Tamandua tetradactyla: one gene and its partner. The protein of the gene in region 2 purifies or fractionates together with the protein of the main gene of each other region. This does not show direct contact. Links are inferred from orthologs where the notes say so. Each region holds a gene or a part of one and is shown on either strand. Other genes may lie near its edges.

Region 1 (10,048 bases), about 540 kb from region 2:
GATAAAGCCCAACTTTCAAGGTATGTGATAAACTAGCCTTCACGTTTCCAGACACCTCTCACACCCTAAGAACCTGTCACATAGAATCTATTTCTTGCTCCTGCTAGAAACTCTAGTCACTGGACGTCTCTTTGCTCTGGTCCTGAGGGTCCTTCAGTCTACAATGCCCTTTTCCATTTTCCCAAACATCTAAATACTCCATGTCCTTCAGTCAGTTCTACTGCTAACTTCTTCTCCAAAATGTCTGGGTCTTCTAGGTAGAAGAAATATTCTCCTCTGATTATGCCATTTTTAATCCTAGCGTCTGAGGCCTAAAAGGTTAAGCTTTTGTCATGGAAAAATTTTAATTAGTAGAGTAAAACAGTATATAATTTCACTTGGTTTATCAAAATCCAGAGACATACTTTAGAATTGTTAAAAACAATCCACTGTAAAGGTTTTATGGTTTAACTTTTAAGCCAACAGTGATTTTTATTATGAGATATTGGAAGCAGCTTTAGACCTGCATCCCATAAGCTGTACTCTGTGAACATACAGGAGTAAAAAGAATAGTAAGGAAAGTTTCTACCTCTATTTTTGTAACTTGTATACATAGCTTTTGCTTTTCTGTGCTTTGAAAAAGTGAATGGTAGTACCTATTATATAGTAACATTGAAGTAAAAATTTGAGCCCAAATCTAATCAAGGCTCTAGATCTAACTACCAGTTTATCGGAAACATAGAGGAAAGAAGAACAAGATAAATGTCAGCAAGCAGAAAAAAACTGGCTGAATATGGAATGTGGGAAAGTCTACAGGACAAATGACTAGGTTTCCCCAACAAACAATCGCATTAGGGTGGGGGAAGAGGAGTTGTGTGAGCAATTATAGAATGAAAGAGACAAGACAAAACAACCAAATACAATATATGGTTGTTTTTGAATCCTGATTTAAGCAAATCCACTGTAAAATTACATAATTAAGACAATCAGGAAAATGTTAATATGGGCTAGAAATGTGATGATATTAAGGAATTAATGTTTGTTTTGTTAGGGGTGATGATGGTATTGTGGTTATAAATATTAAATCCTTATGTAATAGAGATGCTCAGTGGAGAATTTAAGAGTAAAATAATATGATGTCTTGGATGTACTTTAAAATACTCTGGCAAAAAAAAAAGGTGGGTGAGAATGTGAAACAATTTGGTAAAGTGTGATAACTGTATAAGCGGGTGATGAATATGTGCAGCTTCATTATAGTATTTTCTCGACTGTTATGTATCTTTGAAATTTTCCATAATGTTTTTAAAAATAGTGAGAATTAAATACTATGAACACAAGATATAAGAAAAAATAGTTGCCAACAGACATTTCAAATTGTTAACTAATTTGAAAAGAAATAATACATAAATTTTTATAGCAAAATCATCAATGGTCTATGACCTAAAAATATTCTATTTTAATTTTTACATCAAAACTTTTTTCATAGTCTTGAACGCTTAATCTAGAAACACTTGAAAAGGAAGATAAAGCACAATGACTTGTTTTTACCAACTTGGTTTTACCCCAAGTGGCCTGTGAGCTGCAGATAATCTTCCTGCCCGAGCAATTCCATGGCTCCTTAACTGCACTTGTTTCAAAGCACAAATTGCTTTCTACTTCACATGAGAATTATTACAGATCTCATCCCCCTGTAACAGCCCAGAACCTCCTTGAGAGCTGAGTCTACCTGTGATCTCCTTTGTGATTCTTAGCAGTGCCCACTGCCATCCCTGAGATTCTGATTAATTGACCTGGGGTGGGACCCGGGGCTTCAGTATGTTTTTAAAGCTTCCCAGACGACTCTAATTTTTAGCCAGGACTGAGAACTAACTGGGCCACAACTTACTCTTGGTGCCAATAAATATTTATTGAATTGGTGAATCAGATTAACACAGAAAGTGCTAGTCACAGCAACAGAAAGACAGATGGGAAATAGTATCCACATTTTACAGTTTAAAAAACAGACTTTGAGAGAAAAGGACAGTCTCACGGGGTGCTGCAGTGAAGCCTGCAGGCCCGAGATATACTCTTTCCCACTGGAGAGGGCGCTGTCCCCACAGGAGCAGCTTGGGGACTAAGAATGGAGGGGTAGTCATTCTTACTGAGGGAGGGGCACTGAGGACATTTCCATCGCCCCTGTGTCACGGGACTCTTAGTGAGAGTGGTAGGGAGTGAGTACAGTGGAAGGGAGGGAACAGGGGTTCGGTTGAGGTTGATCTGATCGCAGAGACTGAGGGAAGCCGAGGACATTACCTGTGTCCTACCCACCCTCCTGGATGCTGGGGTCAGATCTTCCCCATTCTGACACTATCCGACCATGCTATCCCCTCGTCCCAGCCCTGGGCCTCAATCCGCATTGCACAACGCAGTAAGCGGTCAGGGCAGTGGGAACCAGTGGTTCTCCCGGCCCTCTCTGGCTCCCACTGGAGTCAGCCAATAGATGACCACAGAATCTGCGCATCCTCCCGCGCCAAAGAGAAGGCCGCAGAGGTACGCCCACCTGAAAGCAAGAGCTTTTGCTTTGCTGACTGCCGCAGGCACCTCGTGTGGGTGAGGGTGCGGCTCGAAGGTGGTTTCGAAAGAGGGTGAACTTCAAGGGTGGCGGTGCCCAGCAAGATATAGATCTGGGCGGAGAGGAGAAAGAAATTCCTGCTTCTAAGCCCCTCCCAATCCAATCACCTAGCATGTTTCTCAAAGCCAGTCCTGCAAGCCCCGCCTTTCTCCAAAGTTTCGCTCCTGGGAACGCTAAGAGGCTCCGCCCCAACTTCCAGCCGAGGTCGCTACTTTTTTTCTAGATGGGAGCTAGAAGGAATGGTAGAGATACTTTATCTAATTCTAGCCGGACTGCTTCTCTTTACAAATATGGAAGCTGAGCCCGATTGGGGAAATAACTCTGTCAAGTTACCGGTACACTTGGGACCCCTGGAATCTCCCCATCCTCCTCCACCTCCCCGCTCCAGCTACCTGTGGCCGGCGTGATGAAAACAGGCTTCTTTTGAGGCTCGGGCTGTGGCCGCAGCAGGATGGAGAGGCTGAGAACAGGGCTGGACATGCTGACCATGAACCAAGTCCCATCCAGAGCTCGCGGGCAGCTCTCATCCGGGGTCAGGCCACTGGCCCAATTGGCGGAAGCAGGGAACGGGACAAAGCGGCTCATCTCGCAGTGTGGCACCGGGGCGCCTCGGGGGTACCTCCTGAAGGCTGCCTGGAGGGCCCCCGTGGGGTCTGGAAGTGCAGAGAATGGTGGGGGCGCAGCTGTAGTCGCTGCCGGGAAAGGGACAGCGAGGGCAGCGTCCGGGGAATTTGACATTAACAAACCACCCGGGTAGTGAGAGGTTAGAGGTAATCCAGACTTTCATTTTACAGAGGGGGAAACTGAGGCCCAAGGTCATCACGCTACGTAAGGAGGGTCTGGTGGAGAGAGCCTACAGACTTGGGGGCGAGTCCCCGAAGACGCACCGTGAACGTTGAGGTAGAGTTGGGGGTCGAGGTCGGACCTGGGAGGCGGTTCCTCCGGGCCTTGGCGCAGAAGCAGGGCAGCGGGTTTCTTGGCCAGGCTGCCCCCATCCTCCACGAACCAGCACTCAAGCGCGGTGGGCCCGGCCGAGACGGCGGTCGCCAGGCCTGGGGGAGAAGGACGCGAGTGAGGGGGCGGCCGGGATATAGGGTGACCGGCCCTCCCCGCCCCCCCCCCCCCACGGCCCCGGGCTCCCGGCGGGATCACTCCGCCCCACCCCACCTCACCCCATCCCTGGGCGAGGAGTCGCAGGTTTCGCTCACCCAAAGCCACAGCGAGGAGCAGGGACAGGGGCTTCATGGCGCTGCGATCTCCTCAGCCCTGAAAGCCTCCTCTTCCCCCCTTTCACTTTCACTTTCCTCTAATGGCCAGCAGGAGGGGCTGAGGAAATCCCCGCTCTGGTTAGGTGAGGAGGTGCGCGTGGCGGCGGCGCGCCCCACTCGCGGAGCAGGGATCCGGGAACATCCTCACCAGTTCTCTATCGGGCACCTCAGGCCTGCCGCGCCCTCCTGGGCCGGCCAGCAAGTTCCAGTTCCAAAACCCTCCCCTTCCCCGGGCTCCCCCCCCCCCCCCCCCCCGGGAACTTTACACCACTTTCCCCCACCTGTGCCGGATCCCCAGCAAAGACACACAGGGGTTGTTGGGAAGCCAATTGCAATGACCAATAAATATTTTAATCACCATTTTAAAAAATTAAAATAAGACCCTTGTACTCCTACGACTTACTCCCTCCTTGTGTCCACCCCCTCCCCCCTGAGAACCGAACTGGAGAGATGAGGGGAGGAGGGGAGGCGTAGAAGTAGGGGTAGAAATAAGGGTGCAACCTGGGAAACAGGAGGGATAAGTTCTAGGACAAGGGCGGGGCTCGAAGACCTGGTCCCCACAAAACACAAACACAGACTTCAGGCACACACTACAGCCTTCGGACCCCTGACCCTGTGATTCCAGGATGCTCAACATTTCCCCCTCTCTCCTCCATGCACTCCCTACTGTGGAGCTGGGGCTTCAGTAGTGTATCTATCTGAGGAAAAGAAGAGAAGAGACACCCTCCCCCGCGGGAGGGGGTGAGTGGAGCTGAGGAATGGAATGGTCTGTAGACTGTGCTACTTGGTTCCTCCTCTCAAGTATATACAAGTCCAGAGAGATTAGGAAGACATTGCGTGTGATGGGAGAGCTCTCCGGGGCCAAATGCCCCCGAATTGTGTTCCCTATTCACTCTTCCCTTAAAGCTACCCTTAGTAGCTCTGCCCTCTCAGTTTGCCCCTCCGCCCCCACTAAAGCCCATTTCCACCTTGTGGACGCCAGATGGGGACCAGACCCTTCGGTTGGGCGGGGGCGTGGCTCCACTCGCCTCGTCTCCGCTGCCCCGGCCAGCTCCGGGGGACTCTCGCTTGGGCAGTACTGTGGGCCCCGTGGGCGCCCCGGGCCCCGCCCCGGCCCCACCCAGGCGGTGCCGGCGCTCACAGTGTCCCCGGTGGCGCATGAAGCTGTCTCGCCACATGAACTTCTTGGCGCAGACGCTGCACTCGTAGGGCTTGAGGCCTGTGTGTGTCTTCATGTGTTCCGTCAGGTGGTGCTTCATCTTGAACTTCTTGTTGCACACGGGGCAGTCAAATGGCCGCAGGTTGAGGTGCATGTTGACGTGCCGGTCCCGCATGCTCTTGTGCGAGAAGGCCTTCCCGCAGTGGCATAGAAAGATCTTATTCCCGTCTCCACCACCTGTCCCCCCAGGGGCCCCGCCAGTGCTCCCGGGCACACTTAGGCTCCCTGCCGTGCCCCCTAGGGTCACTGCCCCATGCTCAGCCTGGTTCCCCTGTGGGGGGCCTGGAGCCTGGGAGGAGGAGGAGGAGGTGGAGGAGGAAGATGGGAAGACCAGGATCTGGTTGCTCTGCATGTCCAGGGGAAGCAGGGGCCGTGGAGGGTGGGAGGGGGTGTAGGAGGAGGGGGTTGGCCCCCCTGAGTCATCCAGGCCTGCCCCAGGACCCCCACCCTCAAAAGGGCCATAGTCATTTGAAGACTCACAGAAGTTGACCTGCTCCTCCCCCTTATCTGGAGGCTCAGTCAGGGTCCTGACATCACTTATGCTAAGGGTAGCCTCAGGTCCTCCCCCCGCTGGGACCACTGAGCCACCCCCTAGCTCTTCATCTTCATCATCCTCACAGGTTAACACCAGGTCTTCCTCCTCCTCATCCTCCTCCAGGTCTGGGTCTTGGGGAACTAGGGGTGCTGGTGCGGGGCAGTTTCCACCCCGCTTCACATATACCCAGTGTTTCTGTGGCATGATGCTGGGTGGGGTGTATGTGGGACGCCGGAGTCCAGCCCCAGGGACCACTGCCCCCCTGCCATCCCCACCATCATCACACAGCTCATCAGCTTCCAGTAGCAGCTTCCCAGATGTGGCCCCCCCACTGCCAACCACAGGGGCTGGAAATACAGGGCCACCTCCACGCCGCTCCCCACTGCCCACTGCAGAAGCTGTAAAGGCCTCTTGAGAAGAAGAGAAATCAGTGGATTCGCGGGGACTGAAGTAATTGCTGCTGCTGGGGGACTGGTTCTCACTAGCACGGCTGGAAGCATGAGAGCGCACAGAGCCTACGGTGGCAGGTGCCATGGTGCCCCCACTTCCTGCCGGGCCCCCAGCAACAGGGACAGTGACCGAGGTGGCTGCAGCAGTGGTGATGGTGGCAGTGCCTGAGGCTCGGCCTTCGCGGAGGAGCTCAGTGCACTTGTCTACGATGTGCCACATTTGGAGCACAGACCCCACTGTGAGGAAGTTGACAATGTCGGCAGCAGCCATGCTGAGGCGGCCAGTGTAAGCTGAGGCCAGGACAGTCTCGAAGGCGCCTGGATCCATGACGTTGGGCAGCGAGATAGAGGTCATGCCCTTCAGCAGGACCTGGTCGTGGAAGTAAGGGGAGGAGGCCGCAAGGACAGCACGATGAGCCCGGAACTCCCGGCCCTGCACGCGGATGGACACATCGCACAGCTGCCCCTGCAGCCGCTGCTGATTGAGGGACTCCAAGAGGGCACTGGTCACCTCAGGAAAGGACACATGTACCACTGCAGCTGCTGGTAGGGGCAGTGGGGGTGGGGCCAGCGATAGGGGCAAGGGGAGTGCTGCCCCGCTGGGAGAGAGGGGAGATGGCTCCATGGTGAAGAGGGGGTACCCCCCCAGCCACAGGAACAAGGGAAGGAGGAGGGCGGCCGGGGGGGTCTCTGGGGAAAAAAAGAGAGAAGAATAACGATAGCATCTCATAACTACTACACAGTCCCTTAGTTTACAAACATGTTCAAACCCATTTTCTGAGTAACTTCCCACAGCATTGTAAGATCAGTATTTCTCTCAACCTCATTTGACAGATGAGAGCACAGGCTCGGAAAGATTAAGCAACTATTCAAGGTCATGCAGCCAGTAAGTGCCAATATCAGCAAATACAGGTCTCCTGACTCCAAATTCAGTGCTCTTTACTTGGTGTTAAAGAAATAAGGCACTTTAGTCTTTCGAAGGGTGCTTCCCCTCAAAATTACACCCTGTTTTCCATTTGTCTGAGTGACATTCCAAAATCTACCTCTTGGGTCTTTTGCACCCTGTTCTTGGGAAGGGGCAGGTCTGCTCTGGTACTGAAAACCATCCTTCTCTCTGCCCCCGGCTCTCTCGCGACCACGCCCCATTTGCCCCCAGTTTACGCCTAGCCACGCCCCCTGGAGGACCCACCCATGCCCCGCCCCTCGGTCCTTTCGACCACGCCTCTTGCTTACCCCCGCCCACAAGGACCCCGCCCCCTTCCGCTCCGCCCCAAGCGCTAACTCGGTCTTCTCTCCCACCCGGAAGGCGCCCCCCAACCCCGCGCGTCCCCGCTTACCGGGCCGCGCGCCCCCGGGCCCCCCCGCCCCTCACTCGGCGACCAGAGCCGCAGCCTGAGCCCCTCCCGCCGCCATCTTGCGCCGACTCCCTCCGCCCTCCGCCCCCGCTCCGCCTCCCGCCCCTCTAACTTTAAAGGCACAGGCGGGCACCCCACCCGTGCTGCTAGGCAATAGTCTGCCGACTCGGCCACTTCTCCTTTAAAGAATCATCGCCTCATTCTACGTTAAAGGTATCAGGTTCCTTCCTCCGCTGAGGACTCAGGACTTAGTTTGGCCAAAGCATTCATTCCCCTTTAATTCTGTAAGCCTGCCTCTTCCCATTGGCGGTGAGTACTGACCATCGCTAGCCAGGCTCCGCCCCTGAGCGGTGGCCATTAGTAGGTTTCCGAGGTCTAATAGCCCTCGCCCTCCAGTTTCTGACAGTTCCCTCTGAAGTCCCGCCCTCTTCCTCCCAGCCTGGATTGGCCAAGTAACCTTGAGCCGGCCTCTGATTGGCCTTTTTACTACGACCGCTCGAAGTGAAAAATAAATGCGTATTAAGGAGGCTGAAGTATGTTTTTTGGTGCCTGTCAGCGGGCTGTGGGCGCAGGGATGGTCGCAGCGCAAGGGGCAATTTCGGGGCTACTCCGGGGTTGGGCTAACTCTGAGCCGGGAGTAGGTGTGACGGAAGCGGGTGCCAATCTGTGACAGTACATATTCAAGGAAGACAGGGATACAGTAAGAAAAGAATTTTATTGTTTATTAATGTTTCTGTGTAAAACTTAAGCTTTTGTTTTTCTTAAAGAAACATCACCAAAAGGGGATTAGCTTAGTCCATTCCTTCCAGTCATCTACTGCCCATCATCCTCCAAATGCTATCTCTAAACATTTTGGAGTTGGAGAGAGGGGGACCAGCTAATCAGAGTCTGAGAGCACGATAATCTCCTCTGGATCACACTGTGTGGCCACACTCATCTGCAAGGGAGTGAGAGACAAAGGTGCAAGTGTCAGAACGGTTGGGGGAGTAGGGGTAGGAGAAGCAGAGGGAAAAACTTAGATTAAAAAAAAGAAAAGTTAGGGATGGGGAAAAAAAAGGAGGATGTGGAGGGTGCAATATTCACATTGGCTGAAACTGAACAATGAAAGAGAATGAACTGTTGGAGGCAAAATAGCCTCCCCCTCTTACCTTGTAAGTACTAGGGTGGGGGACTTGTGATTGGGAGGTTTGGGACAGCAAGGCTGGAGAAGGACTGCAGAGGGAGCTGGTCACCAGACCGTGGCTGGGAGAGTCCACCCTTGTCGAGGAATCAGCAACTGGGACCATGGAAGCCAAGGGGGAAGGTGGGCTGGGCAAAGTACATATCCTCTTCCCATTCTTCTCATGCACTGCTCTTTGCCTTTCCACATAGCTGGGGACAGAAACATAAATGTGTGGAAGGGTATGGGGAACGTGAATCTGGAGGTGGGGTAAGGCAGGAGAGCGGTGTATGATTTGACTCCCAGCAGACTCAGTTCCCCAACATTCCTCTCAGAAAGCCCCCTGCAATCCCTCCTTGGTTTCCCTCTTCCTCCTCCTAATTGTTACCTGTCTCTTAATGGCCCTGACCCTGTTTGCTCCTTCTCCTTCCGAGATTTCTTGCAGGGGGGGCTGGAATCTCCCCAGGTGTGAGGAGAGACACCTCCATTGAAGGAAGTGGAGGTGACCATGGCTGCCCCATTCTCCAAGACAGTGGTCAAGGGGTCCTCTGACTGCTTCCTGGAAATGTCCCTTTCTTCAGGGGAAGGGGTGGTATCCAGGGGCAAGGCCTCAATCTCTAGCTCAAAGAGCTGAGACATAGGGCTCTCTTCCTCCAGGGGCAACTCCTCAGGCTGTTCTCCATTGCTTTCCACATCTATGCTGGAGGGGCCCAGGGGCTCTTCTGACAGTGAAGATGGAGACACTGTGAGTCCTCTGTTTTGCTGTGCCCCTGAAGACCTGCTGATCCCTTTGCCAGGTTCCATGTTCTGTTCAATGGAGATCTGTGGTGGGGACACGGGGCTTTTGTCTCCATCCTTACCTAAGAAAGAAGAAAAGAGGAAGAATGACATGAGACCTAAGTGAAATAATACTGCTGAGGGGGTGCTAGGGGAAAAGAGGAGGAAGGGAAGGGTCTCAAACAGATAGCTTATGGCCAATAGAGTAGAGGAAACTAACATTTGGCGAGAATGTTTCCCTAACATACCTGTTTCCTCCTCCTCCTCCTCTTCATCATCCCCCTGACCTTCCTGCATCTGTTCCAGATCCTCCTCTTCAGAATCTGTAACCTCCTCCTCTTCTTCCTCTTCTTCCATCTCTTCATCACTTTCCTCATCTTCTTCCTCATCTGTCTCAGCCTTGGAGGTGGTAGGGCACTCCTGGGATGCTATTCCACTAGGGCCCTGGGGACGAAGGAGTTTCTCTAAGGAATCACTTGCCCCAGAGGTTCCAGTCTTTGATTTCCTTCTGCACTTTACCCCATCAATCACCCTGGACTTCTGGGTGGCTAGTACAAGGGTGGCTATAGCCTCTCTGGAGGGAATGTCCCTCCCATACCTCGCCAGAATCCAAGGAGGGTTTGGGGGAGTCTGCAGAGTGGGAAGAAGCGCCTTGGGGAAGCCGGGCTCTTCTCTTCTGTCTCTCACCCTCCTCGC
Region 2 (11,043 bases):
TCATCATCATCATCATCATCATCATCATCATCACCTTTGTTTCGGTAACATTTCACTTTTCACAAAAGATTTTCAAGAAGGTGTCATCTAATAAATATATCAAAAACTCTCAAAGAAGCTCATTATCACTCCCATTTTTTAAAGTGAGGAAACAGTCTTTGAGAAGGTAAATCACTTGCCCCTAATCACAGTTAGTAAATGGCAACATCAAAACAAGAACTTCTGCTTCCTGGTCTAGTTCTCTTGACATTACATCACAGATGCCCCTCGTTGCTGGCTACTGCTATTCTAATGGCTCTCACTAGCACATCCCTGCAGTCCCACATTGAAGAGGGCCTAGGTGCAGTAATTTTTGGCTCCCTGAGCTTCCCCTGAAGCCAAAAAAAAAAAGACCCTAAATTGGAACACACAACATCTCCCTAAAGAGGAGGTTGGGTCTTGGGGTTTGTTCATATGAAACTTAACCCCACAAAGGATAGGTCAAGCCTACTTAAAATTAGGCCTAAGAGTCACCCCCAAGAGAACCTCTTTTGTTGCTCAGATGTGGCCTCTCTCTCAAGCCAACACAACAAGCAAACTCACCGCCCTCCCACTGCCTAAGGGGACATGACTCCCAGGGGTGTGTACCTTCCTAGCAACATGGGACAGAAATCCTAGAATGAGCTGAGACTCAGCATCAAGGGATTGAGAAAACCTTCTCCACCAAAAGGGGGAAGAGTGAAATGAGACAAAGTGTCAATGGCTGAGGGATTCCAAACAGAGTGAGAGGTTATCCTGGAGGTTATTCTTACACATTAAGTAGATATCACCTTGCTATTCAAGATGTAATGCAGAGGCTGGAGGGAACTGCCTGAAAATGTGGGGCTGTGTTCCAGTAGCCATGTTTCTTGAAGATGATTGTATAATGGTGTAGCTTTCACAGTGTGACTGTGTGATTGTGAAAACCTTGTGTCTGATGCTTCTTTTATCTACCTTGTCAACAGACGAGTGGAACATATGGAATAAAAATAAATAATTGAATAAAAATAAGCAGTGGGGAAACAAATGTTAAAATAAATTTAGTTTGAAATGCTAGTGATCACTGAAAGAGAGGGGTAAGGGGTATGGTATGTATAATCTTTTTTTTTCTGTTTTCATTTTATTTCTTTTTCTGTTGTCTTTATTTCTTTTTCTGAATTGATGCAAATGTTCTAAGAAATGATCATGATGATGAATATGCAACTATGTGATGATACTGTGAATTACTGATTATATATGTAGAACAGAATGATCACATGTTAAGAATGTTTGTGTTTCTTTCTTGTCATATTTTTTAAATTTAAAAATTAATTTAAAATTATTTTAAAAAAAAGAGGATGTTGGGAGAATTTTGTGTGGCACAGTGAATGAAAGCTATCTAGAACCCCTAAAAAAAGGGAAGGGTTTAGGGACCTTGGGAAGGGAAATTGAGGCTCAGGTTGCCCAGATGATAATACTGTACCAACCATTTCCCAGTGGAGGCAGAGTTGAGAAAAGGGTCATGACAAAGGGAATGGAGTCAAGGCATCTCGGGGACAAGAGAATGGGCATCCATTTCCAGGTGCTCACATTGGTGGTCCAGTAGTTAACCGCATAGGCCAGCGACTCCTGTTGGCTGAGTCTCTTCATTTCCTGCAGCTTTTGTTGAAACCTCCGGGCCTCTCCCTCCTCGTTGGCAAAGCTCCGGACTGTAGGCATTGCTGACAGTGCCTCAATGGCCACCTGGCTGGACTCTGCCAGGGATTTCTGCATCTGTACTGCCAGCAACTGTGGATGCACAGAGAGGGTTGGTAAGAAATAGGGTTCATTAGTACCTGAGTTACTGGTTGGAGACTAAAGGTGAGAAGAGGCAAAGGAATAAGAGAGAAGAGGGAAAAGAAAAGGATACAACTATGCTAGAGCGATATAAGGGAGAGGAAAAGGACTCATCAAAAAGTTGGGAATCATATTCTTAAAGACAGATTTTTGGGTAAAAGTCAGGAGAAAAGATACAGGGAGTATGAAGATCAAGGAAGAGCAATCTAGAAAAATGGGACTGCAGGAACAGGGAGTTCCATGAAGGCGGGGAATTATGAGGGTACCAAGAAAGTTGAATGTAAAGAAATCCAAGAGGAAATGAATCTGCCAAATCTGGGAGGTAAAGGGTCCGTGTAGGTTAAGCCAACTCCATGAACATACCTGGTACCACTTTCCCAGCTTCTTAGGCAGAAGGAAAAGCAGAGGCAGGGCAACCAGGGTGATCATGGTGAGGGACACTGACCCCCAGAGCATGAACCCGAAGAGGCACAGCCCCCGTACGAGGTACCACAGCAACAGGCTCAGCTGCTCACTCAGAGACTCACTCACGGTGGCTGTGTCCTCTGTAACCCGAGATGTGATGGCACCTGCCAGGGGTTGGGGAGAAGAGCATAGAGTGAATGCAATGGGTTCAGAGTGATGAGAAAGACTAACAATGAGCCAGGATGCCATGAGTGGGGGTATCAACACAGTGTTCTAGGGAAAAACAAGGTTGGATGGGTGTATGGAGGGATTCGGGAATCTCATTGCAGGCAGAAGGAGTGTAATAGCTATGAAGGGGCTGTGAAAACCTGCCAAAGATCTTCATTTTAACTATGAGAAAATTAGCACCATGTGAAGTTCTATTTTTCGGAAAGCTTCCTGTTCCTTAAAGAACTTGTATATCCCAAACTCTACATAAAGGCAAGAAGAGCCTAAGCTGGTTGTGTAATAGCAATGGAGAAGGGAGAATGCTGCTAGGAGGCAATCCAGGAGGCTCTAATGAGCACAGCACTAGGCATTAAAAGGCTGGGGTTCAACCTGCAAGTTTGTCTTGATCCATATGTGACTACAAAAGTTTCAGCATTTTGGATCTAAACTTCAGTTTCTTTCTCTGGAAAGTGAGGTAGTTGGACTCCAGGATGTCAAAATTTTCAAATAGTTTCTAAGGACATAATGAAAGTCTGAAATTTATATCTAAGGACAGAGAGGTACAGATTTATGGGAAAATCCTGGAGAAGGAACTAGGTTTTTCTGAAGGTAAAGAGAAGAATATTTTGCTCCAACTTGAGATACATCAAGAGTAAGAAATGACAATGTGTGCATATAAGAGAGGTATCACGTTTCTAAGTAAAAGAGAATGCATTGGGGACAGAAAGAGTACATGAACATATAGCGAAAGAGTTTCGTGAAAACCTGTTTGGTTCTGTTGGAAAAACTCTGTCTCCTGCCGCAGGACAGCCTGAAACACGTTTCCGTGCAAGTGGCTATGCACACGGCCCATGGTGTAGTTATACATTCCATCCCCTGCAAATTCCAGCAGTGCGCTAGGGGCAGAGGAGAAGGAAGGTCAGGTGGGGTGCTGGGAGGATGCAGAAGGAAGGTCCCAGGTACCCCCCACAGATGCTATGCACTTTGGACAGCAGGCCCCAATTTCCAGCTCCCTCTTTTCTGGGATCCCCCATTCTGAGCCATCCATCTTCAGCCCCCAGACCTGGCTATGGTGAGAGCAGACATAAGAGTTATGTTGTAGGTGAAGGCAGCAGCTACTTTATCTTGTAGGATCCAGTCAGTGAGACGACCAGTGTAGAACGGGATGGCCATTTCCCCTGGGGTAGGAGAGGAAAGACCGGTCAGTCACAGACACTAAGTCTAAGCAGGGCACCTCTGACCAGACTATCCCTCATTCCACCCCTCAGCTGCCCTTATCCTTATTCCTAACAGTAGAAGCAGAAAGAAGACACTGAGGTCATAATCCCCTACCTGAGGAGACTGCCCTGGGTCTCCCGGCCCTATGTTTGCTCCACCAGACTTTCCAGGGTTTAACTAGAAAGGCTAGAGATGGAGTAAAATACCCTCCTCTTGCTGCCCAAGAGGAAAGGTCTTGCCCAATGTGGCCCAAAGAAGTGGCGCCTGGGACAGGACTGGAGACCCGGGCTTGAGCCCACCCAGTCCAATGCACTTTTCTCCAGACGGGAGTGGTCACCTCGAGACCTCAGCTGGGTCACCAGATGCACATTTCCCATAACACTACCACCACCCATCTCATGACCATTACACTTGCTTCCTGACTAACCACCTGCATCCTCCCGGTCTCCACCTGCGTCCCTCTTACCGAGACAGGAGAGGATCAACAAAACCAGAAAGAGCGAAAAGGTATGTATCTCTGGGCTCAGACAAGCGAGAAGCCGAAGCACCGCGTCTCCAGAGCCGCTAGGCCAGAAGGACACCCGAAGTTTGTGCCACAGGGCGGCCGCGAGCAGCGCTGCAACATAGCTGATGATGAAGACATCGGCGCGACCTGCCCAGTGCAGCAGCCCGGAGCTGCCTGCATCCCTCGGGACACCCCACAAGCCCAGCGCACGAAAGGAGGCAAGTCCCGGAAGTGCCAAACCCAGTGCCACTGCCAGAGGCTCCAAAGCTTCCAGCCAGCTCTGGACTCCTGTGCTTTCCCTATCGGAGACTCTGGTCTTGAGAACCCCGCGGGCCCCCAGCCACAGAACGGCCCAGCGGCTCAGGCCCACCCCCCAGACCCGCAGCAGCGGCAGCGCGGTGGGAAACAGCAGAGTGAATATCCCGGGCAGCGCGGGCCGGAGCAGTAGACAGTCGGCGAGAAGCAGCAGCGTCGCCCCCAGCCACGCGCAGGAGGCCCGGCACGCGCGGGGAGCCCGGGACTCTGAGCCGGCCATCGGCTCGCGGCTGCTGTCCCGGGTTCCCTTCGGGAGCCTGCGGGTCTCGCCTGCGTCTGTAACCTAGCATGCGCCGGGGCTGACGGCCGGAGGCGGGAGCAGGGGCGGGCCGGGGCGGAACTCTGGGAAAGTCCCCGGTCTTGCTACCAAGAATTGTAGCCGTTTAGGGGAAAGGGAAATCGAAAGCGGCAGCCGGCTCTCTTGTACCGCCCACTTCCAAATGGGGCTGGCCAGACTATCTGGATATCAATTCTAAGATTCTAGGGAGCGGCACCGTTGTCCCCATCTGCTCCATCACGCACATCTTTCGCTCCTCTCCCGGTCTTTTCCTGCGGGACGCACTTGCTAGAACTTTCTCATCCAAGTCTCAGAGCGGGGCCCTTTCGTCATCTGTCTCTGGGCAGATCTGCCCCACACAGGTTTGCGTCCCCGCTTCCAGCCTGACAGCGAGGGCGCAGACGCCCCCTGGTGGGCGCGGTGAAGGGGCGGGGCTCTAGGCTGCGCGCCGCGCGCTGTCCCAGGTCAGAAAACCAGAGCCCCAGGCAGCGAGGAGGCAGCCGGGATGTTGCGGGCGGGAGCGCCGAGTCTGGACTTACCCCGGACCGGAGAAGTTCATACCGGGGTAATGGGTCTGGGGTTGAGGGTTATCAGAGAGTCGGAGAAGGTGGAATGATAAGGAGACCCTGGGAGCGCTGAGGAGTGTGTGCGGAGACTAACAGAAATGTGGGGAAGTGGCTTGTAGCAGCTAGGGCTTGCTTGCATCCCGCAGTGAACTTAAGGCATCTCTATTCTGAAGAAGGTCTTCTAGGGGGCCGCGAAGGGCCTGGGCATTCGAGGCATTAGAGTAGGGGGCGGTGTTTTGGCTCTTAGCTGGAAGCGTCAAGGGGAAGCTGCTCTAAAAAGCTTTCACTTTCACTCTGGGGTGGACAAGGTGGGTGGTTAATTCAAAAACGGGGGCTAGAGGCGATGCAAAGAGATGAGGAGACGGTGCCCTAAATGAAGTTGGACTACACTTAGGAAGAGGGTATAAGGTCACTGATTGAGCAGGATCAGCTCACCGCAGAGACGGGTGATAATAGCCCAAGCACTGATTACGGGGGTTCTGTGGGACCTGGTGGTGCTTTTCCCTACCTTGGCTCAGGAAGGTTCCTGCTTGTTCCAGGTGTTGCCAGTTCCCTTCCCTGACTCTTCCCTCCCCACTCCCACATGCCTGCTGGGAGACTGCCCAGGCTGGGTGCCTGGGACATATGGCAACCCCAAGGCTGACTGGTCTCTACTCCCAGACTGCTGCCTCCATTCCAGGTTTGCAGACAGCTCTGTTATAGAGTAATCTCTAGGATGGGGTTGCACCAGTTCTCTGGCCAAATGCATGGTGAACTGTTGTACCAGAGTAAGGTATAACAGTGAGGAAAATCGCAGTAAAACCATTTGCAAGTTAGAAAATCTCCCTTCACTGCCGCACGAGCAATGGAAAGTAGGAAGTAGAAGTCAGACTTCATAGGAGTTAGACCTGGGTTTTAGTTCCAGCTCTGCTAGTGATTCAGTGTGACCTTGGTGTCACTTACCTGCTCTATGACTCAGTTTCTTCCTTTGATCATTAAGACTCCTTCCAATTCAAGGAGTAGAGAAAGTGTAGCTTTATCCCTCATCACTGTTCCTTAATTCTTTTCTTTTTTTTCTTAATTCTTTTCTTGACCTAGAAAAAAATCAGCCCAGACAGCCTGATCCAATCCTCTCCCAGTACACATCTTACTCTTACTGCCTGAAAGATCTACTTACCTCCTAGATCAGAAACTCAAGCAAAACTTATTTTAAACTTCTTATGCGAAACTTCCTTGCTTTCCTCCTGCCCTGATACCTGGCTCCGCTAACTACTGACCAGCTCAATGTTTTACATTGTTCAGTACACTGAAAAAATTCATTTCTGATTAAATGGGGATGAGAATGGAGGATTCTGGGCAAACAAACTTGACCTTGATTCCCAGATTCCTAGATTCTTGCCAAGTTACCTGCACCCATTGGAACATATAATAAGCTTGTGCAGTAGAGAAAATTCACTTGTGGGACTACTTATGTGCCCTCGAACCCTTCCCTCCAAGGGAGTACTTCTACCTCAAGGAGGCTCTTTCCCCATCTCTCTTTAGAAAGGAAAGGATTTCACCAAGAAAGTTGGGACTTAGGGTTGTGGTTCTTTATTTGTTGTATCAAGGCTGTGCTGTGGCGTTCCCTTGAAGTGGGATAAGGCAATAGAGAAGTGGAAAGATGGAGAAAAGACCTTGTACTGGGGTCTGCCCTGGCCTGTATTACTGTATGACCTTGAGCCAGTCGCCTCTCCTCTCCGGCAGGGTCTCCTCACCTGTAGTACGGAGGTCAGAACTTCCTGCTCTGAAGTCCGTTCTCTGTGTCTCTGCAGACGACCATCATGGCAGTGGAGTTTGATGGGGGCGTGGTAGTGGGCTCTGATTCTCGGGTGTCTGCAGGGTGAGTATCCGTGAAACTATAAGGATTTGGAAGGAACTAATGGCACCAAATACGTATTTTTCTTACTCATTCATGAACAAAAAACTGGTGAACTGGAGCTTTGGAAAAATGGACCAGACCATTCAGAAAGGACAGGCCACTATAATAAGATATTGGGTAGGTGCTTGGGTCTCTCAGTTTATGAAGGAAGGACATGGGATCTGGATGCTTATGTGGCCTGTTCCTGTAGTATAAGGGGGTGGAGTGTAAAGGAACAGAGTCTTAGAGGGAGACAAGAGATAGAAATTTGAGGGTCCCTCCTTCCATCTCTATTTAGGGATAGAAGAGATGATTCTGCCGAGCAGATATTCTGATTTCTCATTTATCAACTATTAAGCTAATTTTGTCCCTACTCTCCCTTCCTGGCCAGAATTCCTTCACATGCAATATCAGTATATGGGATTAGATCAATATTACATTTGTTGTGTTCCATTACATTTCTCAAGATGATGAATAGCAAAAAAAAAAAAATTGTTGAGGTACATTTCTCTTACCTTCTTAACTTAGGGTTATTTTTCTGTAATAAAATCTAAACCTGAAAAATAAATCTAACTCTGACTAATTCTTGCACCAATGCATTTATCCATGAGACTGTTTTAGCTTTCTGCTTTAATCCAAGCATTGAATTTTATGCACTCCATGACTGTTCTCTTGTCAAATAAATTTGAGAAGCACTCATTGATTGACCTTACCAATTCCTGCCAACTCTAACATTGATGACTGCTCTTCCTTCCTGACAGAGAGGCAGTGGTGAACCGAGTGTTTGACAAGCTCACCCCTCTACACCAGCGCATCTACTGTGCCCTCTCTGGCTCAGCTGCTGATGCCCAGGCCGTGGCAGACATGGCCTCCTACCAGCTGGAACTCCATGGGTAGGAATTTCCACTGGCCATGAGCTCCTGACCCCACGCTTACTGGAGCTCCTCCAACCCCATGAAGTTCTATGTGAGGCTCTGTTCCAGGCACATTGAGTTAGGAAATGGGAAATTCTTATTTGGGTTCCTGCTTTCATTAGCTTTGAACTGGCGTGCTTGAATCTCTATAAGCCAGTTTCGGTACCTGTAAAATGCAGATACTAGTACCTACCCTCACATCATGGCTATTTTGATAATAAAATGATATATATGAAAGCCATTTGAAAACTGTAAATCACTACACTGATATAAATAATAAGGAAGAAAATGATCACGTGGCCCACCATAATCTCGATCAAAGTTAATGTATGAGAAATCAAGGCCATTCAAGCAGAAATAAAGCTTATCTGCCTTTCCATACAAGGTCAGGGTCCTTGTAGACAAAGGACAATTAAGTAATTGGAGGTAGGGTGGGGCAGGGAGAAGACCACAGAAAGCTCCTTATAAATTGGTGACATGAAACCCTGGTTGAAACCCTGGTTGCCCTGTACGTGTGGAAGGGAAGCTGGAATTTGAACTAATATAAGTATTATAGGTCATTTGGCAGGTATAGTGGTAATAGCACCAGAGGCCGGGACTTGAGGAGATTATGAGACCCCTACGCCTAATATCTCCGTCAGGTTGGAACTGGAGGACTCTCCCCTCGTTCTGGCTGCTGCAAACGTGGTGAAGAATATCACCTATAAGTATCGGGAGGATCTCTCTGCACATCTCATGATAGCTGGCTGGGACCAACGTGAAGGGGGCCAGGTGAGTGTCTCCTAACTTGCCCCCTCCCCAAGGGTTCCACCCTTCTGTATGGAACAAGATGGTAGGCATATGTCATTCTAGCAATGAGTTTCAAAGGACAGAGTCTCAACTATTGGGCTGTGAGATACCAGAGCTTTACTGCAGAATGGGGAGGCCATCTGCTTGTCTCAGTGCGAAGGGGAAGGTTGATGACTCTTTAGTCTGACCTGAGGACGCCCCCACCTAGGTATATGGAACTCTGGGAGGAATGCTGACGCGACAGCCCTTCGCCATTGGTGGCTCCGGCAGCACCTACATTTACGGTTATGTGGATGCAGCATATAAACCAGGCATGTCCCCTGAGGAGTGCAGACGCTTCACTACAGATGGTAAATCAACAAGTGGAAGGGAACCTGGGAAGGGATTTTTAAACATGAGAAAGAAGTGAATTAATGAGGAACAGGAAGTGGAATACATGAGTGACCATTTATTTAATTTAATATCCAAACTGGAACACTTTTGAGAGTGAAAGGGGGCAGGAGAAATGCTAAACTAGATAGAACTTCAGGCCAATAGGAATAAACCAGGATAGTCCTGAGTGAACCAAATCATGCAGTATGGTCATGGTAAGAACCGAGAGTATGCTGGCGCTGGCTTGGACCAACTCATGAGAGCCGATTATTAAATCTACAGGTATTTTGTAAGCTGCTTGTTAAACTTGACATTGATCATGGTGGGGTATTTATACCACGCACATCAGCAGATGGTACAGATCAAGACCTTTTTTTCCAGCTGGTTTACCAGCACACCACTAAATATGTCCCTCTGAGACATGGGTTTTGAGGTCTGGAAGTGCTAATAGGCACATCAACAGGAGGGGAAGGAAAAGATTGTTGAAGCTAAGCCGTTTTCTCTCTCCCTCTCTCCAACTTGAAACCCTATGCAGCTATCGCTCTGGCCATGGGCCGGGATGGCTCCAGTGGGGGTGTCATCTACCTGGTCACAATCACAGCTGCTGGTGTGGACCATCGAGTCATCTTGGGCAATGAGCTGCCAAAGTTCTATGATGAATGAATCTACTCAGACTTTGCTTCCATATTTTGTAATAAACATTCTAAGACCAAAACCTGGTATGGTCAACGGGAACTGGGCATTCAACTGGATGAAGCTTATTAGGGAGGGAGAGTCTTCCCTTCCAGGTGCCAGCATACCCTTTTTGTTCTTTTGTCCCCAGGTCTAAAACATCCTTCCCAGAAGAAGGGGTTTGGAGATAGGGTGGGGGACGTACTAGAACTGGAAAGAGCCCTATGCTCAGGTCATCATGTACTGAGTGATTTTGAAATATTAGAAGCAATTAAAAATTCATTCTGATGCCTAACGGTACAAGTGAAGAGTTGGAACTCATTCTTTTAAGAGCTAAAGCTAATGAGTGTACAAGACAACTTCACACGGGAGAATCAGCTAATAGCTCCAGCAAACTCATACAAAAGAATTCCCTTCATAACACATTCATTCACATGAAAGACCAATACATGATAAATACTTAAATATTTAGGGGGTGCTTTTGGATTTGAAAGATTAATAGCAATAACAATAAAAGACCTGTGTTTATTGAGCCAGGCATTTGTTCAGCACTTTAAAAACATCAGCTCTTTGAATCCAAACAAAAGCCCTATATAGGTACTACTATCATTATTATTCTCTTTATTAGAGAAGTTGAGCATTTACAGAACAAATGTGCACAAAATACAGGATTCCCATACACCATCCACTACCAATCCCTTGCATTGAGGTGGAACTTTTGTAACAATTGATGATAGCATATTTTTGTAATGTACTATTTACTAAAGTCCATGGTTTACCTTAGGGTCCACTGTTTGTGTAGTGTAACTCCATGGATTTTTTTTAAATTTTTAATCTGTTGTATATATACAATCTAACATTTCCCCTTTTAATCATATTTGGATATTTATTTCAGTGCTATTAACTGCATTCACAATGTTATGCTACTGTGAAGGTTAGGCTATGGTATAAACTGGACCAGGTGATGATGCCCAGTTGTCTGGCCAAGCAAGCACTGGTCTGACTGTTGCTGCAAGGATATTTCATGGTTGACTGATAAACTGGAAGGCTGGTGTGTTAAATCATCAGTCAGTTGGTTACATCTGTGGCTGATT

What was found. Proteins that work in one complex are often made in the same cells at the same time.
Region 1: the proteins of TAP1 (region 2) and TAPBP purify together in Homo sapiens (co-immunoprecipitation; 6 studies listed by BioGRID and IntAct, with this or other methods). This does not show direct contact. The link is inferred for Tamandua tetradactyla from reciprocal best matches to the Homo sapiens genes TAP1 and TAPBP.

What each region holds. Positions count from the first base shown.
Region 1 is NC_135331.1:89,244,445-89,254,492, forward strand, and holds the start of TAPBP (tapasin), read right to left. Parts: upstream 4,092-10,048; 5' UTR 3,917-4,091; coding exon of another isoform or gene 3,887-3,916; 5' UTR 3,836-3,886; coding exon 3,799-3,835; intron 3,643-3,798; coding exon 3,478-3,642; intron 3,244-3,477; coding exon 2,983-3,243; intron 1-2,982. Other genes in the region: ZBTB22 (zinc finger and BTB domain-containing protein 22), read right to left, coding at 4,788-6,751, 7,738-7,774; DAXX (death domain-associated protein 6), read right to left, coding at 8,294-8,353, 8,565-8,787, 8,964-9,435, 9,601-9,796, 9,951-10,048. UniProt on the Homo sapiens protein: Involved in the association of MHC class I with transporter associated with antigen processing (TAP) and in the assembly of MHC class I with peptide (peptide loading).
Region 2 is NC_135331.1:88,701,510-88,712,552, forward strand, and holds the start of TAP1 (antigen peptide transporter 1), read right to left. Parts: upstream 4,767-11,043; 5' UTR 4,704-4,766; coding exon 4,130-4,703; intron 3,624-4,129; coding exon 3,509-3,623; intron 3,342-3,508; coding exon 3,211-3,341; intron 2,403-3,210; coding exon 2,197-2,402; intron 1,786-2,196; coding exon 1,588-1,785; intron 1-1,587. Other genes in the region: PSMB9 (proteasome subunit beta type-9), read left to right, coding at 5,266-5,325, 7,117-7,184, 7,964-8,095, 8,758-8,887, 9,114-9,255, 9,813-9,940. UniProt on the Homo sapiens protein: ABC transporter associated with antigen processing. In complex with TAP2 mediates unidirectional translocation of peptide antigens from cytosol to endoplasmic reticulum (ER) for loading onto MHC class I (MHCI) molecules.